2 linked regions of the Arabidopsis thaliana genome follow. The protein of the gene in region 2 purifies or fractionates together with the protein of the main gene of each other region. This does not show direct contact. Each region holds a gene or a part of one and is shown on either strand. Other genes may lie near its edges. The genes, in order: AT4G26630 and AT5G47690.

Region 1 (10,626 bases), on a different chromosome or scaffold from region 2:
AATGTACTAATAACAACTGAAGTTTGAAGATACCAATTAAAAGATCACAACCGTTCATGAAACCAACACCATTACAAATGTATTCTTGATCTTCTCATTCAAAATTATTGTAAAACCACATGAAAAAGATGAATATAGCCTCAAACTAGTTGATAAATCCGTAATTCCTTACTCACCAGTGTCCTGTGACTTCCCTGTTGATGTTTGATCGGTAGATGATAACATTCCCAGCGTATTTGTGACCACCTATGTGAGAACATGGGCTAATTGACACTTTACCTTGAAGACCATGGAACTCAAGTTCTTCTCTGAATCTACTAACTAGCGACGGCCCACAAACCCCACATCGCCGGTCTCGGGATCCATGGGAACATACAAAGACATATGAGCCTTTCAGCAATTCAGGATTTCCAGGCAGCCATTCACCATCCTTCACAAGCACCTCTTCCACAAAGGTCTCCACATCAAAGTGAGTCAATCTCCTGCAATTTTTGTTAAATCAAAACTGTCAAAAAAAAGTCCCAACTGTTGATAGAAAAAACGAAACCAAATCTAAGAAATCTCCAACTAGGAAGACTTCACCCCTTACCTGTATCTGATCATATCAGGAAAAATAAGTACATCACCATTGGATGTCTCTGTTCCATCATGCCCCTCACATATTGTGAGTCGAGTCTACGAAACAATGGCCAAAAAAAAAAAAAAAAACATGAGGCACAAAGCAAAAGACAATCATGAAGGCATCATCATGAGACTATCCGAAAAGAAGCAATCCATTACAGACACCATTTCCACTTAAGTTCACCACTGTCATAGCTCAAAAAACGGAGGTGCAAGTCCTAAGATCCCATCTTGAAGCCAATAGACAAGTTATTATGTTGTTAGCCATAGAATCGTGCCAAAAATAGAAACTTTGCCTTATTTGACCCATACAGAAATCCCAAGAGTCACCAGGCAAGAGTTTTTATGACTCATTACGACCTTAAACAGATACTTTAAGTAAGCCAAAACAAGTGAACGCAAATGCTTTTTGCTTATTTGGGAGACTTATTGGAAACAATCAGACCTAGATTTATGAGAATCAAGCAATATACTTGGAAACAGGAGATGCAAGTTAACAGCGAACAAGCTGAATCAATGGAATCAGAAAATAGTAGAGTAAAAAGCTGACCTCCTTCTTCATGCTACCCTTTCTGGCCGATACAGCAGCAGAGAGTAGCCTAGGCAATCGATCGAACTCAGCAGCCTCGATCCTTGCGGGCCAAACAGATGGCTTTTTGTAGCACAAGAAGACATGCCTCTCGTAAAACTGTACGGTTCCAGCTAGTTGTTCCGATCGGAAATCAGGACGAGCGAATCCAAAATCAGCGTCGTTGATGCTTTCTCCACCGCCTCCACCGAGTAAGCTCTCGCTTTGAAAACTACCGGAGCGAGAAGTGGGTTCGCCGAGAAAGTTGTCGAGATAGTCAGATACAGTGACTGGAGACGACGCCGTAGATGGATTGCTGGTGAAGGATAAAGGGTCGTCTCTATCTCTTCCACTTCCCATTTAAAAATTCGACCACAAGTTTGAAACTTTACAGATCGAAACTGAAACTACGGAGACGAAGAAGAAGTGAAAGTTTCTCAGTGATTCTTCTACTGAGAGAGGTCTGTCAAGTATATTCCGTTACTCTTATTCCGGTTTACTCCTTAATCGATATTCTATTTTGCAATCGGACCGGTACTTTTGCCTTTGTGTGTGTGACAGGTCTTTTCGAATCTAGTACATCAAATAAGATAATAGTAGCTGCAGCCAGAATGATAAAAGCCTGGACAAGTGTTGCTTATGCTTATAGTTAACCATGTTTAGCCATCTGCTTTGAATTCTATGTATTTGCAGTGTCTCCATTGCAATCTATTTAGGTACTCTGAATGTAACAACAGCAATTACATTCTTTTGGAACTTGTGTTTGGGTTGTCCGAAAAGGGGATGTAGAAGAAGAGCACAGATTCTTTTCTGTATATTTTGGTCCTGTAAGAATACAGACTCTCTTCTTCATCAATGTTAATCTTTGTTGTATATGTTTATGAGGTACCAATTCCTACATTTCTTAGACTGGATTTGCGTTGGTAGATTTGCAGATATGTTAGAGATAGATCAAGGATACAAGATGAGCATAAATTCCTTCTGCAATATTCAAAGTCTTAAAGGGAATCAAGAGAAACATATTATTCATTTATTACCATTGGCCTCCTTCAAACCAAAAGACATAAACAAAAGAAACCTTGACAATGTCTCGAAAAGGGAGCCTCACAAATCAAAGACAATCCAAGGAGGCTTTTATGTTAAATGCTATAGACATACAAGCAACCTATCCTTTGGCTATGCAGCTTCTTCCTCTTGTCTCTACCAAAAGTAAAGCTGCTTTACGCAGTTCAGACTCCAACAACAAAATATTACATCCACAGATTTAACTTACACATTTGCCAGATGACTACTAGGCATTAGGCAACAGTATCTGACAGAGAGACTCAATATGTGCGATGTGATCAGAAAGGAGTTTAGGCTTTCACCTCCTCACCACCACCAGACCCTCCTGCTTCCTCCTTCTCTGAATCCTCTTCTTTCTTTTCCTCCTCCTCCTCCTCATCTGCTAATTTGGTGAGCTCCTCTTGGATTATCATCTTTATAGATGACTTTCTTGGAGTGAGATCTTCTGTGAACTCCTTAGCTGAAAGATGGATGAAACAATGTGTTTATTTTATATATAACCAGGAATCACTGGAAAAACAAATGACTGAAACCAATCTGTTCATACCAAGTTCTTTAAGGATGTCCGTGAACGTAGCCTGCAGAAGAACAACAATGCTCTTATTAGGTTATCTAGGTATAGAAGGAAATTCACAGTTTGAATAGATATTGCACAACAAACTTCAAATCAGCTTTCAGAAAACGAAGGTTATTTCATGTAACCAATAAGTTTGTTCGGCAGAATCCAATTTTGTTTTATTCCACACACATCCCAAGTAGTTAAGTGTATCGCATATAAAAGGTTGAGAAATTACTCACCGTACTAAAGTCCACTCTTTTCAAGATCTCAACGATTGCATTTTTCAGCACTTTATCACTCGGCTTGTCTTTCCCTTTTCCAGCCCTTTTTACTTTTAGCATATAGACACAAACAGAGATAAACATGGTGTCAGAAAACATTAGTGGTTGTATATTGGTTCGCTTCTGAAAATGAAGATATAAGGAATAAGATTCTCCAATGCATCTGACATACACTACACCCAACATGTTTTTATTCTACCTAAGCGACCATCTTACTGGAAGAAAAAAACAGGATAATGACCAAACCTGGCTTCTCTTTTGATGCAGACTTTGAAGGAGCCGGGGAGGCCTTGATAGGGTTTTCAGACTTCTTCCTCTTAGAGGACGCCTTTGGACTTGTATCACTGTCATCATCAGTCTTCTTTCGTTTGGCTGATGACCGCTTCTGTGTAATCTTCTCTGGTGGACTGGATTTTGCAGCGACCACTGCTTTCTTGTTTCTGGCTCTCCCTGCTGATTCTTTCTTCCCAGCTGACAATCTAGAACCACGTTTCTTCTTTGTAGTTTCTTCTTCAGAATGCTCCTCAGATTCATCTTTCTCCTCGCTTTCAGAAGGCTGAGGCGCCTCATCCTCAGATTTATCAGGAATGCCATTTTCATTCTCCTCCTCTTTTTTCTCTTCTTTCTCTTCTGCCTTCTCCTCCTCTTGTTTTTCTTCTTCTTCTTTCTCTTCTTCAGATTCATCATCAGAATGAGCTAAACTCTTTTTGACAACTTTTGTTGCTTCTTCAGACTTTTTTTGGCTCTGCAAAGGAAGTGCAGAATAATATAATCAGATTAAAATACTTAGCCAGAAACATTGACGGGTTGACCAGTGATGGACAGTTGCAAATAAGCTACATTGAGATTACACGTTCTTTTCAGAGTTAATAACAAGATTAATGAACAAGCAAGCCCTCAGCTCTAAGCTATGCATTACCTTTGCTGATCGTTTGGAGGATGAACTCCCAGCTGTAGGTGAAGTTTTCTTGGGAGTTCTCTTGCGTTTTGCTCCCTTACTTGACTGTTTCAACAGAATGTTTTTAAAGAATGTAAGATGCACAATAGTTATTAAAGCAAACAAAACTTTCCCAACACCACATTACCTTCTCTTTCTCAGAAACTGTAGTGTCACCGGTCACATCACCTGTCACATGAGGTTTCTCCAAAAACTCAAACAGTTTTGTAATAATATCTTCCTGTGTTGAAAAAGCATGCAACAAGAAGTTGCCAGATTCGATTAAATGGGGAAATGAATAAGCATAAACTTGGACAACCAGAAATGGCTAATCAAGCTGCTCAACAAAGACAGAAATTTAAACCTTCACATGTATCTATTCACAGAGGAAAAAAATGAATCTCAAGAACAAAAACTTAGAAATTGATAACCATAATGACCTTCTTTGTTGTAGCCTTGGTAATGTGTATGTCCAACACATCACAAAACTCCCACAGTTTCTCTTTGGTGCATTTCTCAAGCTTTTCTTTTACTTTTTCTTTTGCTTTCTTCTGCAAATACCAAAGAGCCACAATTATATACAAAGCAAAGGCATATGTAAAAGCATTCATTATGTGTAATGTTGCACACCTCATCTCCATGCCAAACGAAACCAGAGAAGCCCAATATGTTTGTCTTGATCTGAGCAGCCTGTTAAAGCAAGAAGAATAAGATACATACAAACATGATTAGCAGACTTGCTACAGCACATGAGTCCATACCACTGGTCTCAAACTACAAGAGTATGCCCATGATTGACAATTTTAGAAGTATGACTATTGGAGCAGCATAATGTCAAAAGGATCCAAAGAGACGCTCACCTTCCCTCTCCTCCCACCAAATAGAATTGGGTGAAGCAGCTTCAAAGTTTCATCAGACCTCTTCCTCATTACCTTGTTAGCAACTACAGAGAAGAAACATTCAAGTTATCTACTTCATTTCAACTTCAAACAAAAATAAAAAGATGAAAAAATGGAACAATAAAGGTATTTTTTAGGTAGGTCGCGATTATTAGATTTTGGTTTACAAGAAATCTTGCTTCTGAGCCGGCTGGAATTGATCAATGCCAAGAAAAAAAATTCAAATGAAGATTCACATAACCAGAACCGAAAAGTGTATAGATCAAAGAATCCACCCATAGTATACATGCAATTTAACAACTAGTAGTATCCAGCACATAGAATTCTCGTAACAAAAGAACGTTTAGGCTACGCACACTTGAAGATAATAAGGGGCTCAAACTGTAAACTTGGAAAGCTAACACAAAAGACTTTTCAGCACAAGGATAATTCGAGATAGATGCTTGAAGGACAGATAGATAGAATATGAACATACCATTGGGAATATCTTTGAGATATGCACCTCGCCCCTGTAATATCCAAAGGATTATTATAAACATATCTAGCAATAAAGTTCTACTCAGCTCAGGAAAGTTTTGGCAAACCTTTTCAACACGGAATTCTTTCGAGGAGTCTTTATCAATCAATGCAACAAGCCTCTCAACAGATTTCCGCTCACGCACAGGGCGATCAGAGAAAGGAGTCCTAGGCTCTGCATCCTTTTTTACTTCCTCGGTTTTATTCTTCTCGCGAACCTTTCCTCCAGAACTCGTCCCTTTCCCACGCTTTTTAGAACCCTTGCTCTCTTCTTTTTCATCTTCTTTATCATCATTTGTCTCCTCTTTCTCATCTTCCTTTGCATCTTTGCTCTCCACTTTTTCATTGTCGTTCTCATCCTCACTCCCTTCTTTTTCATCTTCTACCTTTGACTCATCCACCTCAGCCTTTGCCGCCTCAACTTCCTTTGTTTTATTTTCTTCCTTATCTTCCTTTTCTTTTCCTTCAACATTCTCCACTTGTTTATTTTCATCCCCATTCTCCACTTTTTCATCCATATCTGTCCCTTTGTCTTCATCTACCAGTGTCCCTTCCTCTTTGATGTCTCCTGTATTGCCATCTTTTGTTCCATTTGCTTTGTCAGCTTCATGTTGTATGTCCTCCTTCCCAGCTTTTTTGTGGTCTGCCTCAGTAATATCTGTCTCTTTGGTCTCTTTTTCATCATCTTTGGCATAGTTATTGTCTTTAGATTCCACGTTTTCCTTCATTACAGTATCTTCCACTGAAACACCATCATCAGTTTGCTCTTTCTTTCCATCGGCATCTTCATCCATGTTGGTAGCCTCTGCTTGTCCCTCATCTTTGGTGACCTCAACCTTCTCTTCCATTTTTTGAGTCTCAGCATTGTCTTCATTTTTCTTAACCTCTGACTCTTTATCTTCCGTCTCAGCTTTTTCATCATCTTTCTTAATCTGAGCATCTATCTCCATATTGTCTGGCTCAGCCATATCCTCATCTTTCGCCAGTTCTTGTGTTTCCTTACCCCCAGCATTCTCCTTTCCAGCCATAGCCTCTGATGGCTTTTCAAGAGAAGTAGTCTTGTTTGCGGTTGGCTCAATGGTTGCCTTTGTATCTTCCCCCATATTACAAACCAGTTCAGTAGATCCTTCCACCAAAAACACTTCTTGTGGCTGTGAATGAGAAATCAGTTCAGAGGATTAATATTGCTACGATAGCAGAAATTAATGCTCTCTATAAAGAAATTGAACAACTTGACATAAAGAACATGTAAAACGCATTGAATTCACACTTAGCATATATGCGAAAAAAAACTAATTCCAGGAAAACAACATCTAAAACTTGGCTAGTCAACAATAAGACAAATCTAATTTAGATCTCATTATTGATCCATAATTATCACTTAATCCCACTTTAGATCTGCAGAAGAAGAACTAAATGGAAATTTCGCGTAAGTCACTAAGAAACCAAAATCTCGAAGGTTCATCATTTATCCTCGCTTCTTATACATTCAGTAGAACAAAGATCCAGATGGACAAATGAAACCAAAAAACACCCTTTCATTCAGACAAATCTCCAGAGCTTACACCACACAGATTCAGACAAAACACAAACCCATCTTGAATCTCTCGAAATCAAGTCAATCAACGTCAAATTCATGCATTTTGTCAACAACTTAATAGCATCAGATATCAAAAAGACAATAAATAATCAAAACATCGAAATTCACAAATAAAAGAAGCGCATGAGAAACCCTAACTTCTCATCGCAACTTTAAACAAACACAAAGAAGAACCAAAAGAACATGCGAATTCAAACAAAGCTCAAAACATAAAAGCTCACAAAGATTTAAGCAGAGTATCCACAGGGTTCTAAAGCAGAAGACTTCGGAATCTCACCTCAGAGTATCACAAGACTCGGCACTGAGTTTTTTTTCTCCTCTAACTACTTTTTTTCTTACAAAACAGAACAAATAGCTTTTGTTTTTCTTTTTGATAGCGTTTTTTAGGAGAGAGAAATTCAAGGATTCGGACGCAAAGCCAGATTTTAAATACAATTTAATGCCACGTCAGGCTTAGGATGAATCATTACCGTCCGATTTCATTGCTGTAATAGAGTTCATCAACGGTTCAGATTTTATGTTTGATGCATCTCGTGGATCGATGACGCTATAAACTACCCTAACGTCCGGTTCCGAACCAGGTACCGAGCCTAGACTTTATATTTCAAGGATTTTATATTAGGTTTTTGGACAAAAAAAGTTAACATATTCAATGTTTGTGACCTATAGAAAAATATATTTTTTTAACTACAAATTTAATTTGGTAATTTTTCAATGATATGATAGTTTTGTAAATAAATTATCTATAAAATTACTATATAACAGATAAAAATAAAATTGATACGTAATAATTGCTATATCGGTTTAATATTAATGAAATTGTTTTACTTCTTTATGATAAGGAAGCTAAGTTTATGTGATTGAACAAATGATTAAAACAAACTCTTTCTTAAAATGTACTTCTTTTTAAAGAAATTTAACGAATTCGTTGAATGTTCAATTATAATTGATTTAAACAACGCTATATTAGGTAAAATGATCTAATTGAATAGAATTGTATAAGTGACTTTAACAAATTTTGTTATTTTATATTTAAATATTTTTTATGATGGATTCGATCCGCTACCATAAATAGCGTTGTCAATTTTTGCAAAAAAATTAACATGATAATCCGATTTTTACCTTTCCGCAAAAGATGAAAATGATTCACTGGTCCGGTGAAAAAAACAAGACTATTTTGACGACGATGATTATAAATGACTTATAATGTCATTAGTTTGATAGCGACAAAATTTTTATTTGCTTAACGGGTACTATGATCTAAAAGAATCTAATATGTTTGTCTTTAACAACAGTAAATGCTTCGGAAAAAAAAAAGTTCTAAATATGAAATTAGAGATTGTAACTTCCACCAAATAATCTAGATACATGTAAGAGAGAATAAGGTTACTGTTTTAATTGCCAATCTACTTCTTGCACAAATCTCTTAATTTTGTATAGAGACTGTATAGTATAACCTTCCAAATAATTGAACAAAGTTTAATATTGTCCCATGGTAAATCACCTAGTCGAAGTATTTATATCTCATTATTATGAGTTTTTGACAAATCTAGAAGTCTAGAACTAAAAGTTGAGAAACTATTATTGAAAAACGGGCAACAGTTGTAATTGTCTGCTTAAGGACCACGTAGCTTAAGTACCGTCGTGGTGTTTCTTTCATGGAGCATATCTAATTACGGTGAAGAAGAAATAGTTTGTAGTAATATTGCTGTTTCTTGTTTAAATAAAAGCATTAACATCTTGTTGTGTATTTTTACATAACATTTTTGGAACTCAATACAGGTGACACAAACAAATATATATGGTGGAGATAGTTTGAATCAAGATCAGCTCTCTGTGAAGAAATAGGAATTATATAGAACAAGGCCTCGTCCCATTCCTAACCTAAGAAGATCCCGTACATAATGTTGCTTACTTTTTGTTTTACGGACCCGATTGTACTCTCCCCATGTTGGGCGGATATGGGTAAGATGAATTGTTCAAGGACGAGATGTCACCATTTTGAGTCTCGTTCTTTGTTTCTCTCTGGCCGTACTGATTCATACCGCTATTTAAGCTAGCATAGTAGGATGACATGGGACTAGCATGAACAAACCTGAAATTGACTCCATTTGGGTGAGTTTGGTTGACAAGTTGTTGATTCTGGTGCTGATGTTCGTTGGAAGCGTGGTTAGGTCCATCAGATGAGATTCCAACACCAAGATTGAGGCTGATGGTGTCTGTTTCATCTGGTCTGAACCGAGGCTGGATTTCGTGATTGCTGCTAGACTTTGAAGTGGGAACATCATGATCGTGTTTGCCTTCGTATGTTGTTATTACAGCTTTTGGATCATGTGATGCTCTCTCCACGTGTTTTCTCACTGGGCATCCATGAGCTGTGCATTTGTAGTAGCTCCTACAAAAGGCCGAGGAACATCATGAAACATAATATCTCCATTGCGCACATGTTGAGTCTGTTAAGATCACTATCTTCCATATTCCAAACCAAATTCCTAAAAGAAGCAACACTTTATGCACATGTCAAATAACTAGGTCCTGAAGACAAGGACTAAACTGTTCTAGCTACCATTTTGAACTCGCAAGTTATGTTTATGTATGTTCATTCGAGAAAAAAGCAAGGAATTTTTTGGGGTGTTAAAAGCTTTAATGCTGTACAAACCTGGGATTTGGGTTCCCCCTTACGACTTTCTGCCCATATTTGCGCCATCTATAACCATCATCCAGAATGTCAACCTCACTCAGAGTTTGAACAACAACCCGAGGCTCCCGGATGGGTTTCACTAGTGGAGTTATTTCCATCGCACCCTCCATCCTCCTACATAAAGTTAAAATAAAGTTTTAATCATGTCAAATCACAGATTCAAATCAAGCACCTGAATCCTTTGTTAAACTCTAATACCTCCGTTTTGAGAATGGATCATCATCGTCCGGCTCATCTTTATTCCTATTTGACGCTGCCGCTTCTCCACCATCGTCAGATGCTGAGATAGGAGGTACTTCAGGGTTACCAGTTTGTTCATTGGGGTTAGACAAGTTGTAGACGCCAGATCCCTTCTCTGTATGCAGACATAAGAGTAGAAGGAAAAAGTTATAGATATTGCCAAGGGAGTAAGTGCATATTTGTCTCAAGTTTTAGTTATGATTACCATCTCGGCCAGTTGAAGAAGGATACTTGTCTAGCCTTTCTTCTTGTGCAGCCATACCACCAGAGTTTCGGCGACCAGGTTGAGGTTTAGGATGGTCATGTGTACCCTTGTATATAATATCGGTGATCTGCCCATCATGAGATCTTTCAAATAACTTTTTCACTTCACAATTAGGATGTGTACATTTATAATAGCTCCGGGGAAATTCACTCCCTTTGACATGCTTTTGACCATATTTTCTCCAGTTATAACCATCATCAGCCAAGATGGATGGAGTGCTTCCTCTGGAGTCATTTTGGGAAGTCTGGATTGATTCCTCTTGATCAGATCCAGCCGGAATATCTGAGCTCGTTGGTGTCATCTGACAAGGAGGAGTTGGCCGGCTTAGCTCACTTGAGGAACCTGCAGCATCACTGATCGAAGAAGGTGAGTGT
Region 2 (7,938 bases):
TTCGCTTTCTCTAGTCTCATAGACTGGCATCGCAATCTGTGCTATGCATCCAAGACACTGAAGAACAGCCGGCTGATATCTCTTGTCCTCCAGCATGTCCACAAGTCTCTACAAATCAAGTATAAAACCAGAATTTCCACAAGCTAATTATCAACTACAGATTGTGATACTCTTAAGCAAAATATCCATGAGAAAACAGAACTGTCACCTTGTATAGAACAGAGAGCGACTTCAGGCCATCATCCTTTGTTATTGATGCTAGCGCATGCACAGCATACTTAGCCTGCTTGCGGTTTCCTTCTACACAAATCCTCTCCAGTAAAAGGTCCACAGAACTTTAATAGGACAATAGGAGAAACATTATAAATCAGAAACAGGCAACTAACGAAAGAAGTGAGCTCAAGCTTGATGAAAAAGATGAATATATATAAATATAAACGGAAGTGAGACTTTCACCTTGCTAAAACAATGAGATTCTCCCGAATAGTTCCACCTGCTTTTGCCAGAATTTTTAGAGTACCCTCCTTCATCATTTCATCGTCATCTTTAAGGAAACTTATCAGTTCTTCTTCAGCGCCATCAAACAATGATGGACAGAAACATGCCAGGAGCTAAAAAAAATCAATGCACAAGCATCAACCCGGTGGAGTTTGTAATAAGTAAAAGAAAAGATGTTCATGAGCATGTGATATAATCACCTATAATAAATGCCAAAACAAATTTATTGACAGAAAGTTAGTGAATCTTAAATGATGTGTCAAATCAGTTTTTACCCCTAAGAAGTCCATGCAAGGTTGGATCCCCAATGTATTTTTAGAAGACTTTCTAACAGATACTTCCGCTAATATCTCTTTCACATACTCCTTACTGAATAGCAGATAAGAACACTTTATGGAGAGAGTGCTGAGAAAATCATAGAGAGAATGCTTCTCAGAGAGTATTTTAAGCATATCATCCTGCACACAACCACAAACCAGTTATAAGGTTGTCGAAAGTAAATCTATATGTAAATACAAACTTCTTGTTATTCTCACCCGAATCCTGGATGCTTGCGTTATGCTAGTGTTGGGATCAAGCAGATTAGTCAAAATCTTCCAGATATTAGCATCTTTCAGTTGATCAAGAATTAAAAAGTTTTGCTCAGTCTTTGGGGGGTCAGAAAATGCACGTGACATAACTCTGAATCCAAATAGGATCTTTTTCTGAATCTCAGGAGCATCAGCAGTCTGCATTGAGACAGAATATAAGGTTCTAGATAGTGAAACTTAAAAGGGAAAAATTCCAACCAAAAAATTTTTAAAAGAAAAATTCTTCAACTATCTTTGGTCGAACCTGTTGTGTCTGCTTGATTGACAAATATCTTTGCATTTCTTGTTGTATCCTAAAGGTCAAAACAATTCTCCACAATAAATCTTCAGTATCGAAAAGACAGCATGACAACGATCCTTCAAAATAATTTAAGTGCAATAAAAAAAGTCATCAAATACACCTTTGTCTTTGCTCCAGTATCTTCTCAAAAGCTTTGGTCTCCACTTTGTCAAACCCGGAAAAGATTTGTATCCAATGCTTAACTTTATCTCTTACTGAGAAATCACTAGGAAACAGTGAACTGCATAGAATATACTCAATTGTATCTGACCTGCAACACATATAATATATTTAGATCATCTTTTTAAAGGTTATGATACTAATCAACTAGAATTAAGTAAACCCCAAGAATAAAAGAAAAGGAGCCAGGGTTCAAAAATGTTTTAGACAAATGCACCTGAAATCTTTGTCATAAAGACATCTCAAGATTTTTCCAGGAATCCAATTAAAATCGCCAGTGTCTACCTTCCCATCAGCACACCGTAAGCAATATACCCGGAACAACTCAGTCAACCTTTCCATTGTGTATGTTTTTACGAGTATCTGAATTAGAAAAAGAACTATGAGTTCAAATGTCTTCAAATTTTAGTATGCAACTATCAGAGACAACCAGACTGAATACATAAAACGTACAGCTTTGTCACGAAGCCGTTCAGCAACTAACTTCATAGTGTCAACTGGAATCGACGTCAATGCACTCACAGACACATCACAAATAACAGCAACAACTTGTTTGCGGATATTCTCATCATAATCCAAGAGCCGGTCACAGAGAGCAGCTACATAAGTATTAACACTATAAGATTAGTCAATTCTAATGCATATTAATGGCATGATAAAGAAAGCTTACATATAATTTGAGAAGCCTCAGCTCTCAAAGGATCTGAGAGCAAACAGTCCTTAATATGGTCAAGGATGGCCATCCTAACTTCAACTACCCTATCGGTCAGCCTTTTCAGAAACTCCAAAAAAATTGAATCGAACTCTTCAGAGATGACACGTCCAGGCAAGGAAAACAACTCTCCAACCAATCCAACCACTTTCAAACGAGTTTCCAGTTTATCCGCCTGTATATGTTAATAGTATGCATTATGTATTATTCAATACCAATCTACTTGAAAAGATGGGCTCATACCACATGAAAAGTATTGAAACAACAAATGGATAAGAGTGATTATTCAAACAAAATACATAATAATAAAAGTATTGTGCATGGCAGAGTCATGATGACATTTGACGTGCAAGATAGTGGCAGAAGACCAAAAATAAAATTATACCAAAAGCTCTCCAGTGAGATATGGTGCAACTCCAGATAGGGCCTGAGGAGCACAGCGGTACAAATCATAGATAACCTCATGGTAGTCAATTTGACTGCTGGAAAATCGGCTATCTCCAGACATTGAAGAGATAAGGAACTGCTTTATGTCAGATTCAACTTTGGGCGCACAATGCTCTATGACTTTCATAGCAAGTCTTCTTGCAGCATCTCTAACGTCCTGCCATCATAAATGCAGAATATGAGCTGTCTGATATTCCATAAAACAACGAATCCTAAATTGGATTATAATCAGTGGCCAGAGCCAGCAACGTGAGTATGCTCACACTTCTATTGCGGCCCAATTTAGAGAGTAAAATTAGTAAAAGGTGCTCTTGCACATCTTCGCTTTCTTCTAAAAGAACAATCATTATATTTTGCATTGATGAGAAAACAATCTCCGGATGGTCATCTCTGCACATACAGAAATAAAACAATCTTTCAGTATGAAGCCCAAAAGAAAAGAAAAAAATCACAGAAACCATTCATATTTTGTATTACTAGCCAAGAACACCAACGAAAAGCACAACTGAAAATCAGAAAATTTGAAGATGTTTTGTAAATCAGCGGAACTTATAATCACTCAGAAAAGAAATCTAGGTTGAAAGTGAAACACACCTAGCAACATCAAGAAATGTAGTAAACACTTCTTTCACCAGATCATCACATTCAAGATCCAACATCACTACACATGACCTGTACTTTGCAACCGTTTCTAAAATGAGAACCCTCCTTCCAAATGATGGACCACTGACATCATTCAACCCAGCAAAAGCGCTCACAATTAGTTGAAAAATATCCTGAAACAAGATAGGAAACAGAAGAAATCAGTAATGGACATGTCTGTGATCACGGTGCCAGAGGAAAGTCAGGACAAACAACCTTCATAATATTATCACTGTAAGGCGCTTCAGGTGCTGTAATACGAGTTATCTCAGAAACGCAGCTTGCAACAAGAAGCTTGACATCCTTGTCTTGATGGTTGAGAATTTCAGGTTTAATAACTGCATCAAGAAAAGGCTGAATGGACTTGAGCACTGCAGGTGGTGGAGACTGCTCCAACTCAGAAAGACAAACAGCAGCTTCCTGCATGTAGCAACACACAAGTTAAGGAAAGTCTTTTTGATAAATCAGTCACAGTATTGCACGGAAAAGTGTTTAAGGAGAGAGATATCTTAGTAAACTAACCCGACCAATTCACCCCAATGAAACCAATCAAAAGCAAATCACATTTCCACAAAGGTGGTTGATAAAGAAACATCTTAGTCAATGTAGAAACTGAACATTGGGGTAACTACTGCATCAGTCAAATTGCTGGTGAAGATAGCGCAGTTCAATTCCATCATGACCAGGGACAGAAAAATACTAGGGCCAACCCTAAAAACTCGACATTCTAACAGCAGACATCATAAAAGTCGCAAATCTAAGCAATTATAGACACTGAATTGGTTCTCCTAGGAACAGTCCCGAGTTTTATGCATGACCTAATTTCGCAAGAACAATCTAGCGTAGACGAAAAAGATGGTACAAACTAACCCTAACGCAGCTCGAAAGAAGAAAACACTGGCTCAATTAATGAGCATTACCCAGAACGGAAGAGGATCTACAAAGCTGAAAACTTTATTCGGTTCCAATTTGGCAGAATTTAAACAGGGGACAAAGATGGAAAAAAGTTCCCTCCAAACGAAAAATCGAAACTTGGAGAAATTGTAGAAGAGACAATGAGAAGTAGAGATGGGGAATCACACCTTTAAGAGTTTGAGCAATGAATCTTTAGAAACAGGAGCTAGGTCAAGCTTCGATCCCAGCTCTTTCAACTGTTCCTCCGGCTTCTGAGCCATGGGGAGTGAAACAGAGAACTCTTAAACCGAAGCTGTTAGAGACGAGCCACAATAAACGAACAAGGAAACAAAAAGGGTATTTTCTTGAATAATCTGGTTCTCAGAGTCACTATGCGGAAGAAGAAGGAGAAGAAGAAGAAAGCCACATCTGATCTGAGCTCTCTCTAACACAACAAGAGCCCCGATTAGCTGACTTACGACGGCTTTGTGTCTCTCATCGCTTCCTCATTTTCTCTTATTTTATATTGATGGTCCCTCACTTTCTCTTCTCTTTACCCTTTTTCCCCATTCTTAAAGCCCATCGTTTAACAGGCCCCTTTTTAAACATCCAGGCCCATTAGTGTAAGAATACCGACGTCGTTTTGAGTGGAGTTTCAATTTTAGTTTTTTGACCCTTCTTCTTTGCTCTCTCGCTTTGCTTTCTCGCGGCAATGGCGGCGGCGACGGGAAATGACGACAACGGCTGCTTCGATAAACCAGAATCTGAACCGGCACCGGTTAACGTTTCGCCTCCCCTGTCGAAGAATGCTCAGAAGAAGCAGCTGAAGCAGCAAAGATACGAAGCGAAGAAAGCTGAGAAGAAGGCACAGGAGAAGGAGCATAAGAGAAAAGAAGGAGAGAGAAAGCTTAAGGAATGGGAAGAAACCCTAGCGAACGCGACGGAGGAAGAGAGGCTGAAGCTTATTGAGTCGAGGAAGAGTCTGCGGAAGGAGAGAATGGAGAAGAGATCGGAGGAGAAGGAGAAGAAGATAGAGAGGCTGAATCAAGCTAAAGAAATAGGTCAAAAGATCGTAGTAGATGTTGATTTTGCTCATCTCATGTCTGAGTCTGAGATCTCAAGCCTCGTTCAGCAGATTATGTATTGCTATGCGGTGAATGGGAGAAGCACTTCACCTTGTCATCTATGGCTTACAGGAGTCCAAGGGAAGATGAGTACTGAGCTTGACAAGCTTCCTGGTTTTGAGAAATGGTTCATTGAAAAGGAAAGTAGGTGTTACATTGAAGCCATGGCTGATCAGAAAGATAATTTGGTGTATCTTACGGCTGATTCTGAAACTGTTTTGGATGATCTTGACCCTAAGCATATCTACATTATCGGTGGCTTAGTGGATCGAAACCGGTTCAAAGGGATCACCATGACCAAGGCTCAAGAACAAGGCATTAAAACAGCTAAGCTTCCCATAGGAGAGTATATGAAAATGTCAAGTTCTCAGGTAACTAAATGGCCACTTCAATTCTTGTCTCATTGGGCACAACACAAAAAACCTCTACTTTATGTACTTTGTTAATGTAAGATTTGTGGTTTTTATTGATTTAGGTTCTCACTGTGAACCAAGTTTTGGAGATACTCGTCAAGTTTCTGGAGACTAGGGACTGGAAAACAGCCTTCTTCACTGTGATTCCTCAGAGGAAAAGAACCGGACTTGATCCTGTTGATTGTTCGAAATTGGAACATATATCTGAAGAGCATCAGGAGAAAGATACTGAGGCAAACGAGAGTGCAGACAAACATGATCTTCTGGAGAGGAAAAAGGTATGCGTTGAAGTTCCTTTGGAAAGTAGTAGCTAAATGAAATGAATGAAGATTGTGAGAGTTGTTTCTGTATCCGTTAAACACTCATTTCTGTAGCTGAGAATTGAAATCTGGAATGTTTAGTCTCTTTCTATTTTGAACCAAGACGCATTACGAATTCACCGTGAATTTTGTAATATCACATGCATGCGGTTTGCAAAACTAATGCTTTATTGACATACTTTACCACAAGACAGATCAGATGAAAAACACAATGTTCTTTCAACTAGATAGATAATAAACAAAGAAAAAGCAGCATTGTTTTCGCTTAAACTTGAATTCATAAGCTACAGCTTGCACCTACTAACAGTTATGACTCTGTCAGCTGTCTATGTTATTAGCCATTGTTCTCAGTACTTATGTTGTTGAGTCGGAAATACTTCAACTCTGGCGCCACTTGCTCCTGAAGATGAACCACTCATCTTAGAATTAGGTTCGTTACCACTGAAAACAAACCCGTTCTGATGACGATAATGGTACTGCGCCATGTGAATCCCTGGCACAGGCCCGTAGGCTCCATACTCGGTCATGGTCCCATTAGGCCTCTTGACCACCAAGCCGTTGGTCATACTAACGGACCCAGCACTGCAGCTAACCCCTCTTTCACCTTCCAACTCTCTGTAGCGGTGGAGGTACAACGTGAGGGGTTCGATGTAGTCATCAAAACCGAGCTTGCTCATTGCCCACAAGACGTCCTCAGCAGTGATGGTCTTGCGCTGTTCCCGCTGGCACCGCTCATTAGCCTCCCCTGTTATGAAGCTGATGTACTCCGAAACACACTCTTGGATCGTCTCCTTGGAGTCATCTGAGATCTTGGCGTGAGCAGGTAAGATCCTCCGCATGATCCGTATCACGTTGGCAATAGGCATGAACCTGTCTTGCTCCCTCACCGTGCACTCCTCCTCACCACCATTACTGGTTTTGTTAGGCTGGTTGAATTCTGGAGGACGCATACTGCCCTCTGCCATCAGAAAATTCGCTGCTAATCCTAACAAAAATAAGAAAAATGGAAGTTTTAGTGCATAATGGCTTCGATGACGTCTGCATGCGCGGTTTATAAGATTGAAAAGCTATTTCATTAACTGTTCGTCATGAAAAGAGTACAGACATGACAATGGAGGGATTGCAGAGAATGGTTTCGCATGCAACTGAAATGAAGAGAGCCTGTGAAAAGAGGGGGTATAGAGAATGGCACTACCTGGTGGAGAAGGAGTGGTGTTGTTCACGGACAGCTTGCGGTAGCCATGGAAGCCTCCACGTTCCATATCTTTCTTGTTCTAAATACACGACTTTTGTGTTTGTGAATATCCCTATAAATAATAATAACCAATGCCCGAAATTAAGAAGCATTTGAAGAAGAGAATGGAATGAGAGAGAAGAAAGAGTAATTGGAATAAAGCTAATAGTGTTGGCAAGTGTCAGCATTTGTAATTTCAGACCTCACAAGTTCAACAACGTGGCAGCCATAATCGATGTGACCGAGGATCCTTCTCCTCGTCTCCCTTAGCCGTTACAAAATCCCAATCACCCCAACGTATTTGTCTTTTTTATTCGAACCTTCTACAAATACAGAGCCGTAGAGTTTTAAATTATAAACTACACCAAAGATATAAAAATTAAACTCGAGGTAATCATCTACAAGTTCTCCCGTTTTGCGTGCCAAAAACACCTAAATTTAAAATCTTTCACTCATTTTTCCCTCTCTCCCGAGGAAATGGTCTTGTAAAAATTTCCAAGTTTCTCAAAGTATGAGCGAGTCTTGCTGTGCTCAGGCTGTTTCTGCCCACCTTCCGTCACTCTCCTATAGTACTTGTTCATGTTCTCCCACTTCTCCTTACACT

Evidence for each region.
Region 1: the proteins of AT5G47690 (region 2) and AT4G26630 purify together in Arabidopsis thaliana (affinity purification with western blotting; one study listed by BioGRID). This does not show direct contact.

Annotation. Positions count from the first base shown.
Region 1 is NC_003075.7:13,428,329-13,438,954, forward strand, and holds AT4G26630 (DEK domain-containing chromatin associated protein), read right to left. Parts: upstream 7,443-10,626; 5' UTR 7,324-7,442; exon of another isoform or gene 7,268-7,323; intron 6,598-7,267; 5' UTR 6,550-6,597; coding exon 5,515-6,549; intron 5,440-5,514; coding exon 5,406-5,439; intron 4,975-5,405; coding exon 4,892-4,974; intron 4,722-4,891; coding exon 4,662-4,721; intron 4,583-4,661; coding exon 4,472-4,582; intron 4,273-4,471; coding exon 4,180-4,272; intron 4,098-4,179; coding exon 4,014-4,097; intron 3,840-4,013; coding exon 3,341-3,839; intron 3,145-3,340; coding exon 3,053-3,144; intron 2,833-3,052; coding exon 2,802-2,832; intron 2,715-2,801; coding exon 2,545-2,714; 3' UTR 2,077-2,544; downstream 1-2,076. Other genes in the region: AT4G26620 (Sucrase/ferredoxin-like family protein), read right to left, coding at 177-482, 590-675, 1,172-1,549; WRKY20 (WRKY family transcription factor family protein), read right to left, coding at 8,970-9,441, 9,706-9,861, 9,946-10,102, 10,193-10,626. UniProt on the Arabidopsis thaliana protein: Chromatin-associated protein which contributes to the modulation of chromatin structure (such as super-helical structure of DNA) and function.
Region 2 is NC_003076.8:19,314,485-19,322,422, reverse strand, and holds the start of AT5G47690 (binding protein), read right to left. Parts: upstream 4,756-7,938; 5' UTR 4,525-4,755; coding exon 4,432-4,524; exon of another isoform or gene 4,270-4,431; intron 3,770-4,269; coding exon 3,566-3,769; intron 3,484-3,565; coding exon 3,302-3,483; intron 3,098-3,301; coding exon 2,971-3,097; intron 2,865-2,970; coding exon 2,646-2,864; intron 2,436-2,645; coding exon 2,219-2,435; intron 2,148-2,218; coding exon 2,002-2,147; intron 1,912-2,001; coding exon 1,766-1,911; intron 1,640-1,765; coding exon 1,490-1,639; intron 1,382-1,489; coding exon 1,333-1,381; intron 1,227-1,332; coding exon 1,035-1,226; intron 957-1,034; coding exon 774-956; intron 612-773; coding exon 457-611; intron 336-456; coding exon 209-335; intron 109-208; coding exon 1-108. Other genes in the region: TRM10 (tRNA (guanine(9)-N1)-methyltransferase-like protein), read left to right, coding at 4,956-5,738, 5,843-6,094; NF-YB6 (nuclear factor Y, subunit B6), read right to left, coding at 6,448-7,085, 7,296-7,362; AT5G47660 (Homeodomain-like superfamily protein), read right to left, coding at 7,787-7,938. UniProt on the Arabidopsis thaliana protein: Cohesin cofactor dispensable during the meiotic division but playing an important role in DNA repair by homologous recombination (HR) probably by helping SMC5/SMC6 complex.